Linked DNA regions of Nothobranchius furzeri. The protein of the gene in region 1 interacts with the protein of each later gene in a biochemical or structural test. Links are inferred from orthologs where the notes say so. Each region holds a gene or a part of one and is shown on either strand. Other genes may lie near its edges.

The links. The genes of interacting proteins can lie anywhere in the genome.
Region 2: of the proteins of card11 (region 1) and prkcq, one has a biochemical effect on the other in vitro, tested with the Homo sapiens proteins (2 studies listed by BioGRID). The link is inferred for Nothobranchius furzeri from reciprocal best matches to the Homo sapiens genes CARD11 and PRKCQ.

What each region holds. Positions count from the first base shown.
Region 1 is NC_091752.1:65,219,564-65,227,213, reverse strand, and holds part of card11 (caspase recruitment domain-containing protein 11), read left to right. Parts: intron 1-1,158; exon of another isoform or gene 1,159-1,247; intron 1,248-3,007; exon of another isoform or gene 3,008-3,190; 5' UTR 3,191-3,200; coding exon 3,201-3,390; intron 3,391-4,147; coding exon 4,148-4,285; intron 4,286-4,474; coding exon 4,475-4,651; intron 4,652-6,968; coding exon 6,969-7,117; intron 7,118-7,208; coding exon 7,209-7,388; intron 7,389-7,650. UniProt on the Homo sapiens protein: Adapter protein that plays a key role in adaptive immune response by transducing the activation of NF-kappa-B downstream of T-cell receptor (TCR) and B-cell receptor (BCR) engagement.
Region 2 is NC_091741.1:35,672,442-35,680,091, reverse strand, and holds part of prkcq (protein kinase C theta type), read left to right. Parts: intron 1-4,392; coding exon 4,393-4,592; intron 4,593-7,068; coding exon 7,069-7,129; intron 7,130-7,650. UniProt on the Homo sapiens protein: Calcium-independent, phospholipid- and diacylglycerol (DAG)-dependent serine/threonine-protein kinase that mediates non-redundant functions in T-cell receptor (TCR) signaling, including T-cells activation, proliferation, differentiation and survival, by mediating activation of multiple transcription factors such as NF-kappa-B, JUN, NFATC1 and NFATC2.

The sequences.
Region 1 (7,650 bases):
CCCCGTACGGAAGGGAGTACTGCTCGGTTTTAAATGCCGTCCTGGGTAGAACTGACTTTCTTTAAAGGACTGTGCAAATCAACTGGCTGGAATCTTTACCTGGATCTTCAACCAATCCCTGTCCCAGGCTATTGTACCATCTTGCTTAAAGTCCTCCATCGTTGTTCCGTTGCCCAAAAAACCCCATGAAAAACAGCCTGAGTGACTTCCGGCCAGTAGCACTCACATCAGTTGTGATGAAGTGCTTTGAGAAACTGGTGCAGTCACATCATTGAGTCATGCCAGCAGACTTGGACCTCTTCCAATTTGCCTACGAGCAAGGAGATCTGCAGAGGACGCTGTGGCCATGGCTCTTCACACTGCCCTGACCCACCTGGAGCAGCAGGGGAGCTATGCCAGAATGCTCTTTGTGGATTTCAGCTCGACTGGTGTCCAAACTATCTGATCTGGGTCTCAAATCACCAACATCCAATTGGATACTGGACATTCTGGCAGGTTGCTCTCATAGGGCAAGGCTGGGTCCCCACACCTCAGCAGCTGAGTCTCAAGACCAGGACACCACAGGGCTGTGTGCTCAGCCCACTCCTCTAGACCCTCTACATGACTGCGTCCCCACCCACGAGAGGAACAAGATCATAAAGTGTGTGGATGACACAACGTTGATCTGGCTAATCTCCAGCAAAGAGGGTGAGCATTCCTACAGAGAGGAGGTCGAGCAAATGTCAGTGGTGCAAAGTCAATAATCTGCTCTACAACACCACGAAAACGAAGGAGCTCGTTATCGATTTCCTGGGGAGGAGGGCAGCATGGAGAGGTTTCTAGACATTAAGTTGGAGGATGACCTGACTTGGAGTGCAAACACCAAGGAGCTGGTGACGAAGGCGCAGTAGAGGTCGTATTTTCTGAGAATCCTGAATAAGAACCACCTTCCCACAAATCTGCTGCTTGCCATCTACCGTTGTTCCGGAGAGAGTACACTGACAAACGGACTGTGTGTGTATGGAATGGCAGCTGTACTTCCTTGGAAAAGAAAGCACTCCACAGGACCATCAGCGCAGCAGAGAGAACAATTGGCTGCACCCTTCCTACTCTGAAAGACATCTACACCCCCCCGTTGCTGCAGGAGAGGAACAGACATCTCAGAGGATCCATTACAGCCCGGGCAGTGCTCCCATCTGAGAGAAGATACAGAGCCGTCTTAGGATCAGCTTCTGAATAACCAACGCAGATGGGAACACTGACCACAGGTCAGCTGCACAGAGCTTTTATAAAATATGTGCAATCTGTATATACCTGCAGACTTTTTATTCTGGTTTTATCCCTTTTTTGATTTCATTGGTTTTATGCTTGTGAGTCAACCGCACCTTCGTTTGCAGTGCACCTGGAAAAAGTGACAATGACAATAAAGATGTGTCTTATCTTATCTTATGTGCCGTAGCTGATGCAACCATAAAGTATGTTCTCTACCAGAACATCCAGAACATCTGACCATGTGACCTTTGACCTTAAACAGGCCATTCATGCTGGAAGAGCTGCCAGTGTGGCTGAATTACAACAACTCTGTAAGAGACAAACATCTCCACAGTGATGTGAAAGACTCCTCATTAGTTATCAATCAATCACTCAATAAGATTTTATGTAGAAAGCGCTTCTCAAGCAAACTGCCACTCAAAGTGCTTTACAACATGACCCCAAATTCCCATAACAGTTTATAAGCATTAACAGATATATGCACACACACACACACACACACACACACACACACACACACACACACACACACACACACACTTTTTCTTTGTTCTTGTGCTATAAATAAGTGTTCAACTGGCTATCTTTGTAAATGCATTTTTTTGTGCTCAAAGGACTTTAACAGTGCGTATTTTAGAAAATATGACATCACACAAAAACTACAAAGTGAGCAAAAATATTTTTATGCTTATTTGTGTGTCACGTTGCGAGTCAGGAGGAGGTTTGGACCCAAAATGCAGACACCCAGAACAACATGAGGCAGGAGTGGATGTAAATGAAAACATTCCTTTATTAGGAAGTAGAACAAAAAATTCCAAAAGGGCAGGAAGCCAAAAATCAATGTCCTGAAACCCTGGAGAATGAAAGCTCACATAGAGCACAAAAGCTAGAGACAAGGAACAAAACAACGCTGACAACAATGGACTGACCAAACACTGTTACACAGACAGGGTTTTATACCTTGGGGAGGATGAGAGGGAGATGAACTGCAGGTGTGTGGGGAGAGAGAGACCAGGTGAACTGAGTTACTAATCAGGGAGGAAACTAACATGACCTAAGAATAAAACCTAAAGACAAGAAGAGTAGGAAACATAATCTAAGGGGGGAGAAAAACCTCAAACACCGATGGGAAAAACACACTAAAGAGACTAATAACATGAACAGCTGTAGCTAAAGGAAAATGACCTAAGGGAAAACCCTAAAGACCAGAAGGGCAGCAAACATAACTAATATTCTAAGGGGGAAGCTGAAACTACAGGAAAACACTACAGAAAGAAAAACTACAGGGACGTGACTAAAGGGGGCCAAGGGAGCACAGGACCTGGGAGGGGGATGCCTGAGGAGGGAAACCTAGAGGGCTGAAGATCTGGGGGCAAATGGGGAAAACCAGGAGACACAAGAGGAAGACGCAGACAAGGACACATGAGGGCGCTAGGAGACACAAAAGGTGAACCTAGTGAGGGACGGAGAACACAAGGAGACACATGAGGGGAGACGCAGACGCAGACCATGACATTGTGACACTCCAAGGCTGTGACAACTTACCCACAAAAAAGATCATCTGGACATAACACACCAAAAATGATTAGATTTTTTTTTACAGTTTTCAAAGTTCTAGTTATGATAATAAACCTGGCAATAAAGGGGTTAAATCTGAGGAACACACATATTTTATTATATTTTGTTAGGGCTGAAGCCAAGGATGAAATTCAAAAAAACTGGGACGTATGAAATATTAAATACTATTTCTATGGGAAGCTTTGTAGGTGCATTTTTTTGTGCTCAAAGGACATTAACGTTAGGAAATGAAAAGAAACGGCAAGGGTTAGTGAGAACTTCCTCAGCATGAGTGAAAAACCAGTAAACATGAAGCACCTGTGCAGCATTAGCATGCAACGACAATTCTGCTGAATGAATCGGTGGCTTTACCAACTCTCAGGTTGTGTGGGATGGAGAATGAGACGGTGGAGGACATGGATGTGCTGTGGGACAGAGTGGAGTGTAAGCGCTACGAGCTGTGTCGCGTCATCACCCCAGCCAAGCTTACCCCCTACCTCCGTCAGTGCAAAGTCCTGGATGAACAGGATGAGGATGAGATTCTCAACTCCCTGCTGCTCCACACCAAAGCAAACCGCACAAGTGAGCAGAAATCTCCATTTTCCTGCATTAAAACAAGCTGTGTTAACACTGGTTTGATTTTAACTTATTTCAACTACTTCTGCCATTAAATTAAAGACAAAGTTCACTGAGAAACAGATTGAAAATAGAAAAAAAAAACTGCTCGGCTTTGAAAACCCAGGCTAATTCATGTCATACTGACTATTAGCAATCATGGACTCACCCATCATAGCTTGCGACGGGGAAGACTGTGTCGATTTCCTGCCAAGGAGAGGGCAGAGTGTGTTATGGCTAATAGAAGCTAACCGTTAGCATTAGCAACTCCACAACATGGCAGAAATCATTCAGGTTTGTGTTGTTTGTGGAGATAAAACATCAGTGTTGCAGTAAACGGAGTCGGTGGTAGCGTCAGTAGCCAATCAGAAGCGAGGTGTCAGAATATCAGGAAACAACACATCAGCGTTGCGTGTTTTAGCTCAGAAAGAAGAGCGAACAAAGGCGGTGGAAGAGTTGTACATCTGTTAGCCAATCAGAGGCGAGATGTCAGAATATCGGGATATATGTCTCCAAACCCTACCGTCGTCTGCTCACCTCTCCTCTAGCTCACTTCTACTTCCTGAAACAGGAGTGTGAGAGCTTTTCCCCACAGAGATCGATTCACGGGACGTTAATTTATACTTGAGACTGCTGCAAATGTGTTGAAAAACAAGTGAACTTGGTCTTTAACTCGATGTGTTCCTGTGCTGAATATAAAGTGCACTAATCAAACTTGCACCAGGCCGTCTACTTGACATCCTTCGCACTAAAGAAGAGCGTGGCTATGTGGCTTTCTTGGAGAGTCTGGAGTTTTACTACCCTGAGATGTACAAGGTGGTGACTGGGAAAGAGCCCACAAGATGCTTCTCCACCATCGTAGGTAAGGCCCACACACTTTTGGGTTGACAGAGCAATCTAAGAGCATGTAACAGATCAAACCAGTTGCAGCGTGTGTTGGCGGTGCCTCGCCGGTAATGGTTGGGGTCAGATTTCTAGCTTTAAGAAGTGCATTTCTCACAAACTGTGATGCACCCATGTTCTCCTTCTGTTTCCTGTTTCTTCTAATCAGTGGAGGAGGGTCAAGAGGGTCTGACCCAGTTTCTGATGAGTGAGGTGATGAAACTGCAGCAGCACACCAAAGTCAAGACCCTTCAGAACGCCGAACTCAGCAGGAAGACCCGCACGTTGGAAGACGAGCGCAAGAAGCTCTCCTTGGCTAATCAGGAGCTTCAAGCCTTCCAGCAAAGTAAGATATTTGCTTTCATTCTAGCCGTGATTCCTGACTGATGTTTTTTTCCTGGTTGGGACATTTTATTACAGTAAATGCAAGAAACAAAACAAACAACAACAACAACAAAAAAAACACCATTTCAAACCACGACCCCACCAGACAGGCCAGGCTTATCCCTCCTCATGCATCACAGTTGAGTTAAAAATAATTTTAATCACAAAATGCAACTGATGAAACTAAGATACTGTTGTGGTTATGAATCCATCCTGTTCTGTTTATCTCTGCAGACGATAAAACAACTAAGCTGTAAATAAGGAGAATGGTTTTGGCTCAGTGGACCTTTCACATAGTCGTCATGCAAATGACAAAACTGGTAATTTCTTTTAGTTGATCAAAAAACTAATTAAGGAGTTGCAGGAACTCCGAGTATCATAGAACGGGAAACAAACGTCCTCATAGGCATTGCTGATTTCCAGAATTCTCTGTTTAGTTCCTGTGGGATTAAAAATGAGACAACTCTGTAGGTGTTGGCCACCAAATTGTTACTGAAATTACTAAAAAGAGAATCTAACATTCTGAGCATGCATAAAAAGGCAAGAAAGTACAATAAATTGGGAAAACGGAAGACTTAATAAAGATGAGAGAGTTGTCAGCCGTCTCGGACTTCATTCTCCCCATAATTAATTAACTATTGGTTCAAATCATTAATTCAGTTGAACAATTTTACCTCCACTACTACTCGTGCTGTATCTGTGGCTCCTCAAGGATCTGTCCTCGGCCCCCTACTCTTCATAATTTATGCCATGTCTTTGGGTCAAAAACAGTTATAATTTATAAGGTTTATAAGTTAGTTAAAATTACATGAGTTCATAGTTGGTTAAATATATGTTAAGGAGTATGCTGTTGCCTAGCAGACCGAGAGGGCAGAGCCACTAACAAATACACACAGGCTCACAACGACATTGTGACATCATATGGTACCAGCTAACGTTCTAGGGTACCTCTTAGCCAATAGCGATGGCAGATTTAAATTCAACTGCAGTGAAGAGTTTTTACCTGACAACGGCACAACACTGACAGTTTTAGGCAGAAAATTTAAGTTTTAACTAAAATGCACTAAAGTGCAAACCTATTGACTACACGTGTCTGCAGCACAATTAGACACACACTTATAGTTTATCAGAAAAAAAGGTGATTTGGTGGTGACTTGCTCTTTAAGCACCTGTTTAGAACTTTCAGAGATTTTAGGAATATTATTTGCATTGGATTCTTTATCTGTTCGTTACACTGCAATGTCATGTGTGCTGGCTAGCTAACTGTTTTAGTATAATGCATATTTAGTAAATGCCCTTTCCTTTTTTTTGTATGTTACAGTTACCAAACGAACAATCATTTGTGTGTAATGTAAGAAAGCTTCACTAAATCAAGAAAAACAAGCCTTGTGCGTGGAGTTTTCTTTCATGGTTAGCTAGCTGTCTAGCAGCACACAGACACGTGTTGTGAGGGCAGCATAATTTGACTGCCCACTTTGGGTTCAATCTTTCAACAGCGGTTTTTACTGTTACGCTGATGATGCTCAATTTTATATTTCAGCTGCAGCATCTACAATGATTCCACCTTCCTCACTCACTGATGCCTTGCAGAGATTAGGTCCTGGTTCTCACATCATCGCAAAAATCAGCCCTGGTATCCAGCAGCTTCATTGGCTATCAATAAAATTTACTCCTAACATATGAGGCCATTTACAAACACACCCCCTTATATGTTTATTTATTTGCCAGACGCTTTTATCCGAAGCGACTTACAATTTATAACCTATAGGGCATGTTGTGATCTGTGGGGGAAACCAGAGTACCCGGAGGAAACCCACGCATGCGTGGGGAGAACACGCAACTCCACACAGAAAGGCCACAGCCGAGTTTTGAACCTGCAACCTTCGTGCTGCGAGGCAACAGTGCTAACCACTGCGCCACCATGCAGCCCCATTATATCTCTCGCAGCTCACGTGTCTACACCCTCTCACACGCTCTCTCAGCTACCACCAACCTGCACAAACCCCTGCTGGTCTGGTCACCACGAGGAGTCGATTTCAGCAGATCTGACCCCTCACTTTGGAATTCCTTAAACCCTAGCATACAACTACCCTTCACCACCGCAAGGCTAAACCCAAACTCACCTGTTCAAATGCTGCCCAGCCTTTTTAGAGGAAGCACGGGTTGACAGCAGAGCCAAACTATTAAGATTCAAACCAAGGATTTGGCAACAATTCCAAGATAAACTTGAATCGTTCATGTCAAAAGTTCCCAAACTGCGTTCATGGTTTTTCATCCAGGGTACAACAAGCTGAGAGAGGAGAGGAACACCTACAGCGACGAGCTCCTCAGAGTAAAAGATGAAAACTACAAGCTGGCCATGAGGTACGCCACGCTGAGCGAGGAGAAGAACATGGCCGTGATGAGGAGCCGGGACCTGCAGCTGGAGGTTCTAGCACAGCTCACGCACACACCTCGTTAACATTTAAAGGACTTGTTGGAGTTGGGAGGTGAGGAAATGAGCTCTCTCGGTTCTGCAGGTCGACCAGCTGAAGCACAATCTGAACAAGGTGGAGGAGGAGTGCAAGATGGAGAGGAGGCAGAGTCTGAAGCTGAAGAACGACATCAAGAATCGGCCAAAGAGAGAGCAGATCTTTGAGCTGGAAAGAGAGAACGAGATGCTTAAGATCAAACTTCAGGAGCTGCAATCCATCATCCAGGTGAAGCCAACTCCGAAGCTTCAGTCTTCGGAAAAGTCTCAGACTAGTCTCCTAATGCTGCTGTTAGATGAGCACAATCTGCTTTCAGCTTGGCGAGACAAACCTCCAGCGGTGTGTGTGTGTGTGAGGGGGGAGAGAGAGAGAGAGAGAGAGAGAGAGAGAGAGAGAGAGAGAGAGAGAGAGAGAGAGAGAGAGAGAGAGAGAGCGAGCGAGCTGAAGCTGATTAGAACCATGAGCCAGCCATAACATTAAAACCTGCAGA
Region 2 (7,650 bases), on another chromosome or scaffold:
CCAGTGACGACTAAAGTCATTTTTACTGTGTGGGCGTCGGACGAGCCCCCGCACCGTGAGAACAAACATCTCAGCTCTGAAGCCGATTTTCATCCGCGTACGTCACACGTCACATGATCAGGAAGCAGAAAATCCATGTGTTAGGAGATCGTTTTGGGCCGTTCCTGTAAAAAAAATGTGAGGTGCGAACCGGAAAAGCTTCTGCCGATCACAATTCAACAACGGATTATGAAAGAACGGATAATGCTCGAAACACGCGGATTCTTCCTGATGCAAGAGGTGAGGCTCCGCTTTGTTTTGGTTGTTTTGGCGTCGACATCATCCTCGCGCGCAACGTTCTGACACTCTTAAAAATAAAACAGTAAAAACTGTGAAAAACGCTGGCAACGAAGGGCTTTAGCGATCAGGAAACGGCTGGCATCAAATGAGTTAAGAAGCTGTACCGCCTTGAGTCACGTAAAAATGTGACTCAACGTGATACATGTGACAGCCCCATCTAGTGGACAACCTTTGTATCTGCGTATACCAGTAGTTATCGTCCATTTATCGTTATCGAGGTAAAATCCTCAATATGTTGATTTTAGACCATGTCGCCCAGCCCTAGTCCAGGGTGTCCTCCCACCTCTCGCCCAGTGACTCCTGGAGTTAGATACCAGCTCACTGCCAAACTATGGAATAAATATTTCAGTAGATGAATGGATGAATGTACTCTCAGTGGCCTAGTGGTAGAGAGTCCGCCCTTGGACTGGGAGATTGGACTTCAAATCCCAGTTGGACCACACCAAAGACCCATTGCCTCCTTGCAACACTCAGCTTTAATGGGTTGGATTGGGGGGTTAAACCACCAAATAGTTCCCAAGTGTGGCCACAGCTGCAGCTCACCACTCACCACGAGGATGGGTCAAATGCAGATATGAATGTTACCAGTGTGTGATGACTAATGGGACTTTAACTTTCCTAATTATCGTTATGACTTGATTACACATAAACAGAGTTGTAGGAGCCCTGAAAAGGTCTTTTTAGATAATGGCTAAAAAGAAACCTTGTTTTTTTGTGGAGTGGTTAAAAATGGTTTAATGAAAGTTTTATGCACATATTCCACACTTATTGTTGATTTTGTGCATATTGAGTTCCAGCACCACACAGGTCTGGCATAGTCACTAAAGTTGTTTGGGTTGTTTTCAGGTGGATTGACTCACACTTCCTAAGTCCTACTTACTTGTTTACTTACTAACTTCCTTACTCACCTAACTACTCGTAAACTCACCTGAACACTTTCTTATAGCTACTTAATTACTTACTTTTCAGTTTTATTTTTAACGCATCCGTTTATGAATGTTCAAAAGAGCAGAGCAAACTTTTTTTTTAAGTGAATGAAGTCTAAATGACACTCTGGGTCAAAACATCTTGAATGTTGCATGTGAAGGTTACTGTGTGATGCACAGAGGGCTTCTCTCTGAGCGCTTTACCAGACAGCAGCTGGCAGGGCTGATGGATGGGCAGGCGATGAGCCGATGATGGAGAAACCCGCAGGTCACTTTGAGAGGAAGAGCTTAGCTGGTTTTATTGTTGCAGTGCTGGGAGGCCATGTGGCTTTTATGCAAGCGGACCAAAAACGCTGCTGGGCTATAACCCTGTTTATCTGTCACTGGTTTGATGGATGAATTTTCAAAGTGTCAGAATGAGCTTGTGACTCGTGACCACACAAGTTTTTCATAAATTACATTCATAATTTGGTTTAAATGCCATGAAGTAAATAAAAAAATTACCACGATGCACCTGTTTCAGGAACTAGCAGAGTGCCACATCAGAGTTGAGCAGAACACGACAAGATTTGGAGTCTTACTTCCTGATATATGAACATCTCTCCACTGATTGGCTAACAGCAGCATGACTCTACCACCGACTCTGTTTGCTCTGCAACGTTGATGTTTTAACTCCACAAATAACACAAGCCTGGAGGAGTTCTGCTGTGTGTTGGAGTTGCTAATGCTAACGTTAGCTTCCACTAGCTGAAACGTTCTCTGCTGTTTCCTGGACGCTAAACCAACAACAGCCTTCCCCGTCGTGAGTCCATGAATGTTAAGTGGCAGTGTGACGTGGATCTGTCGGGCTTCTCTAATCCTAGAGTTTCATCAGAAGCTAAAGCAGGAGATAGGTGTAGGAGACTATTTTCATGTTCAGCCTGAATGAAAAACTCAGAGTGACCCGTTATGATCAGAAATAACAAAAAAAAAAAAAGTCAGTGTTCCACACCTTCAAGTGGAAAATATGTGAAAATTTTGTTTTAAACAAATCTGGACACTTAATCTTTTTATTTATATATATATATATATTTTTCGTTTTTAACTCATGCTGGTTGTTTTGGTCAAATTGTACAGAAGCATATCAGAGCAGGGAAAAATAAAGAACATTCTCTTGTATTAGAGAGAACATTTCTTTTATTATTTAAAGATAATAAAGCACATTACTAAGCATCTCATCAAAACAAGTTTAACATCTCGTAATAATGCGAACACTTGTAGGTAAAACGGCGACATTTCGCGGGATGTTTGCTCCTTTTGACAAGTTATTGCTTGTTTTCCACACTGATGGAAAAACACTTCTGTAATTATGGCAGTTTCTGTTTAGCAGAATATAAAATCTCGGTAACACTTAAGTTTAGGGAACACAAATTAACCATTAATTAGCTGCCAATTAAGAAACCTAGTGAACTACCAAGTCTGAACTAGTCATTATTAAGCACTTATTAACAGCTTATTACTAATGCCGTAATTCTAACATTAACAGGCCATGAATTAAGAGTTTTACAATAATAAGCCATTCATAATGGTTTGTTAACTGAAAGTAAATGGTTTGTTGCTGATTAACGTACTAATTAGCTCAAATCAATATGTGGCTTTTAAAGAAGTAATTCAGGGGAACATATTCTTGCCTTTCAGTGTTTAATTAATACAGAACTACTAGTAATTAGGTATGAACACAATCTGACTTTAGAATGGGGAACATGTTCTTGCTTTCAAGTGGTTAATTGATTGTGGCTCTATTATGTTTATGTTTATGTATTTAGCAGACGCTTTTGTCCAAAGCGACTTACAATTATAATCGGCATGTTGCCCTTGAGGTTAAAAACAACAATAACAACAACTTCTTGACATAAATCATGGAGAGGAGGGAACAAGGAGTGGACAGTAGAGAGGGGGGACGGGTGCAGGGAGGGTGCTAGTTTAGAAGATGCTCTCTGAAGAGCAGGGTCTTCAGGAGTTTCTTGAAAGTCGAAAAGGAAGCCGCTGCTCTGGTGGTGCTTGGAAGGTCATTCCACATTTGTGGAACGATGCATGAGAAGAGTCTGGATTGTCCTGAGCGTGGTGTAGGCACTGCTAGCCGACCATCCTGTGATGACCGGAGCGGCTGGGCCGAGACGTAAGCCTTTGCAAGAGGATTCAGGTAGATGGGAGCCGTACCATCTCGGACTTTGTATGCTAGTGTTAGCAATTTGAATTTGATGCGTGCTGCTAGCGGTAGCCAGTGGAGCTCAATGAACACAGAGGTGACGTGTGCTCTTTTTGGCTGATTGAAGACCAGACGCGCCGCTGCGTTCTGGACCATTTGAAGAGGTCTCACAGTACAGCCTGGAAGACCAGTTAGAAGAGCATTGCAGTAATCGAGGCGGGAGATGACAGTAGATTGCACCAGGAGCTGGGTGGCATGTTGTGTTAGGTATGGTCTGATCTTTCGTATGTTGTACAGCGCAAAGCGGCATGAACGAGCAACAGAGGCAACATGATCTTTAAAGGCCAGGTGTTCATCAATCACAACACCCAGATTTCTAACTGCCTTTGAAGGAGCCAGAGATAGGAAGTCATGTGAAGTTTGTTGTTCATGTACATAATACCAGAACATAATATTTTTGGTTATTAATGCAGAATAATGATTACCCCTGAATTACTTCTTTAAAAGCCACATATTGATTTGATCTAATTAGCATGTGCGTTATAATCAGCAACAAACCATTTACTTTCAGTTAACAACCCATTATGAATGGCTTATTGTGATAAAAAAAATCCTAATTTGTGGCCAGTTAATGTTAGAATTGTGGCATTAGTAATAAGCTGTTAATAAGTGCTTAATAATGACTAGTTCAGACTTAGTAGTCCACTAATATGCATATTAATTGGCAGCTAATTAATGGTTAATTTGTGTTCCCTAAACTAAAGTGTTACCTAGATTTTATTTGTGCTTGTTTTTACAGAAGTAGAAACAGAATATTTGTGTCTTTGGATTTAGATTTCTTTCATGTTTGTCTCTGTAGGTTTTACTGAAGTGAAAGTGAAATCTTAATTCCTGCCTTTTGCTGAGTTCTGACAGTAAGGACGAGCTTTCTCGTTGCAGACAAAGGTCAAGTGTACAAGCAGAAGAAGCCCACCATGTACCCACCGTGGAGCACCACCTTCGATGCCCACGTGCACCCCGGACGCATCATGCACGTGATGGTGAAAGACCGGACGGCAGAGCTGAAGTCGGAGGCCACAGTGGCTCTGGACTCACTCGCCACGCGCTGCAAGAAGGAGAACGGCAAGCTGGAGATCTGGGTTGGTGCAGCAGAATCTGAGTTTTTAACACATTTGATAAATCCAGATGGGTTTGCTCACGTTGGGATCAAAAGGTCAAATGATGAAAAGAGGGTAATCCTCATTTTAGGTATTAAAAGCAAACACATCATCACTTTATCTGCACTGCACAGACATAAAGAGGTTTAATCCACTATGTCAAGATCTGTCAACAACATGAGATTATTCAGACCTGGAAATCTGCCTTGACTTCCCTTTTCCTGTGAAACTAAGGACACCGAATGACTCAAGGATGATGATTCACTGTTGAATGACAAGAATTAAACTTCTAGTGAACAACCTACACAGCGATTTTAGGAAAATGTAAAGTGCATCCTTTTTTAACACCTTGTCAGGAATATTCAGGGGTCAGAAACCAATTCAGTTTATTTCTATTGTGCCAATTCACAGAACAGGTATGGATTCACGTTTTACTAAACGCCTTTAACCGGTTATTCACGCCCCCTAGGGGCTAGTTGTCTGGGGGGGTTAGCTGGAATCTAACCCCCCCAGACAACCCAACGATATCTCAGATTTATAATACCATACCATACCATAGTTTATTTATACAGCACGTTTAAAACGCAGCATGGGAGCTGTCTAAAGTGCAGCACAGGCTAAACCAAAACACAACCACTCTAAGCACCTAAAGCAGAAGATAAAAATACCGATCAAAAGCAGATAAAACATGAGGAATACCAACAACACAATAAAACACTAAAACGAGTCTGAAAGCCACGTCGTAGAAGTGGGTCTTTAAACGAGATTTAAAACCCGCCAGTGATGGAGCCTGCCAAACTATAATGGGTAACGAGTTCCACCGCTTTGAGGCAGCATGTACAAATGCTCGTTCACCCCGTGATTTGTATCTCATCCGGGGCGTGCACAGCAGCAGGAGGTCAGCCGACCTCAACGTGCACGTGGGTACATAGGGAGTGAGCAGGTCAGAGAGATGGGGAGGCGCCAGGTCGTTGAGTGCTTTAAATACAAAAGTCAATAACTTCAACTGTACTCGGAGAATGACAGGGAGCCAGTGAAGAGGTTCCAGGACAGGGGTAATACGGGTACGTTGGTACGTATTTGTCAAGAACCTGGCAGCAGCGTTCTGGGCGACCTGCAGCCGATTCAGGGCAGAGACCGGAACACCGACTAGGAGGGTGTTTGCATAGTCCAGGCGAGAGGTAATGAAGGCATGGATGACTGACTCAAAATGCCTCCGTTCCAAGATTGGTCTGAGGCGAGTCAGGCGGCAAAGCTGATAAAAGCAAGACCTCACTACGGAGTTTATCTGTGGGGCCATTGAGAGTTCAGCATCCAGCTTTACCCCGAGACTTGTCACACACTGTTTGGGGTTGAACGTTAAAAGGTCACAAACAGGGTGAGAGCCATGATGGTTGCGGGGGTCAAAAACAATAGACTCGGTCTTCCTTTCATTTAACTTTAAGAAATTGGATGCCAGCCAGCCCTTCACATCGTCTAAACATGCAGCCAATCGCGAGCCCGCAGTCTCCTCATCCATTGCTGCATATAATCGACAGTCATCAGCGTAAATGTGATAGCTCAGGCCGTGCTAATCTGAGTGATACAGAGGTGCTTCTGAGCAGACCAGAGCGTTCTTAACACACCACACACGGCAAGAGTACCTGATGAATTCTCTTGTTCTATGATATCTTAGAGTCAGTTAGCTCGTGAGCAGCTTAATGTTGCCTGATGTTGTTGTTGCCTTTAATTATTTCTGTTTTTTCTTTTCCTAACGGTGTATTAATGTTGTGTTCTGTTGCTGTAGTGTGGAAGAGGGACGTCAGATCTGATCACATGACAAATTCAATCTACAGATTCAACAAACCTTCAACCGTTAGAGCTGTTACAGAAGTCAGACTTATCTTTAGGATTGTCGGACGAAGAATCACGTCAATAATCTGCATAAATGTGTGGCCTGTGATCTGAATCTAACAACTTTAGCCTGTGGGAGGAAACTGGAATACCCCCCATGTGCTGGGGGAGAACCCAGGGGGCCACAGACGGGACTTGAACCTGCAACCTTCTTGCTGTGAGGCAACAGTGCTGCCACTGCTCTTCCTATTCTCACTCACTAACTATAATGTTTCAGATGAAGACAGGAGTCAGGCACCTCTATAAAGGTTGTGGAAAATCAACATTGTCAGCAATCGCACAGCTCACCTAACCAAGAGTCCAAAGTAAATTCTGTCAGCAGTAAAGCCTTTTCCTGTGGAGCTTGGCATTCGGTGCCTACCCGCAGCTGTCTTCTCTTTCTAACCCAGAATCAAACAAACATTGTAAATAGAGGACTAAAATCAGCTCCACGTTACTCCTTCTGTGGGTGTTTTCTTTTGCCAGCTGCTGGCTCTGTTTCAGCTCAGCATGAGCCACGTCCTTATCTTTTAGATTAAAGTTCTCTCTTATTTTTCTCATTCGTTTGCATTTTGTTTGGTTCCAGCTGGAGATGAAGCCACAGGGCCGCCTGCTGATGGAGGCCAAATACTATCTGGAGAAAAGTGGTGAGCGATGCAAACGAAATGTTGGTTTTATTCATATTCAGTGAAATTATTAGAGCTGACGTAATTTTGGTGTGAGATTTTTGTTTTGGAATATAGAAAAAGAATCTAAAGGAATTAGATCAAATGATGAAATATAGTGAGTGGGTTTGCACGCTGTTGACTAGCCTCCCTTATCCTACGTGTTCTCACATGGCAGATAAGACCTTTGACCTTCTCCCGCCTGCTGCCTCCAAGCATTGTGACTGGTCATTTGAGCTCTTTATTTTTTTCCACTGGTACTTTCCTGACATTAACATCAAGCCAAAGGTCTGAGAACTCCCAGCAGCTACAGAGAAGAAGCCCTTTCACTGCTCTATATTTAGCAGATCGGGAAATCGGTGCTGAGAAGACGAGCGCCGTGTGTCAGGAACTTCCTCCCACATCCAGATGTTTGCAGAAGTTGATAAAAACAGATGTGTTGCGTTACCCATCAGTGCTGCTGAGTGGATTTGGGGAAGATTTATTAACATAAACATCAACCT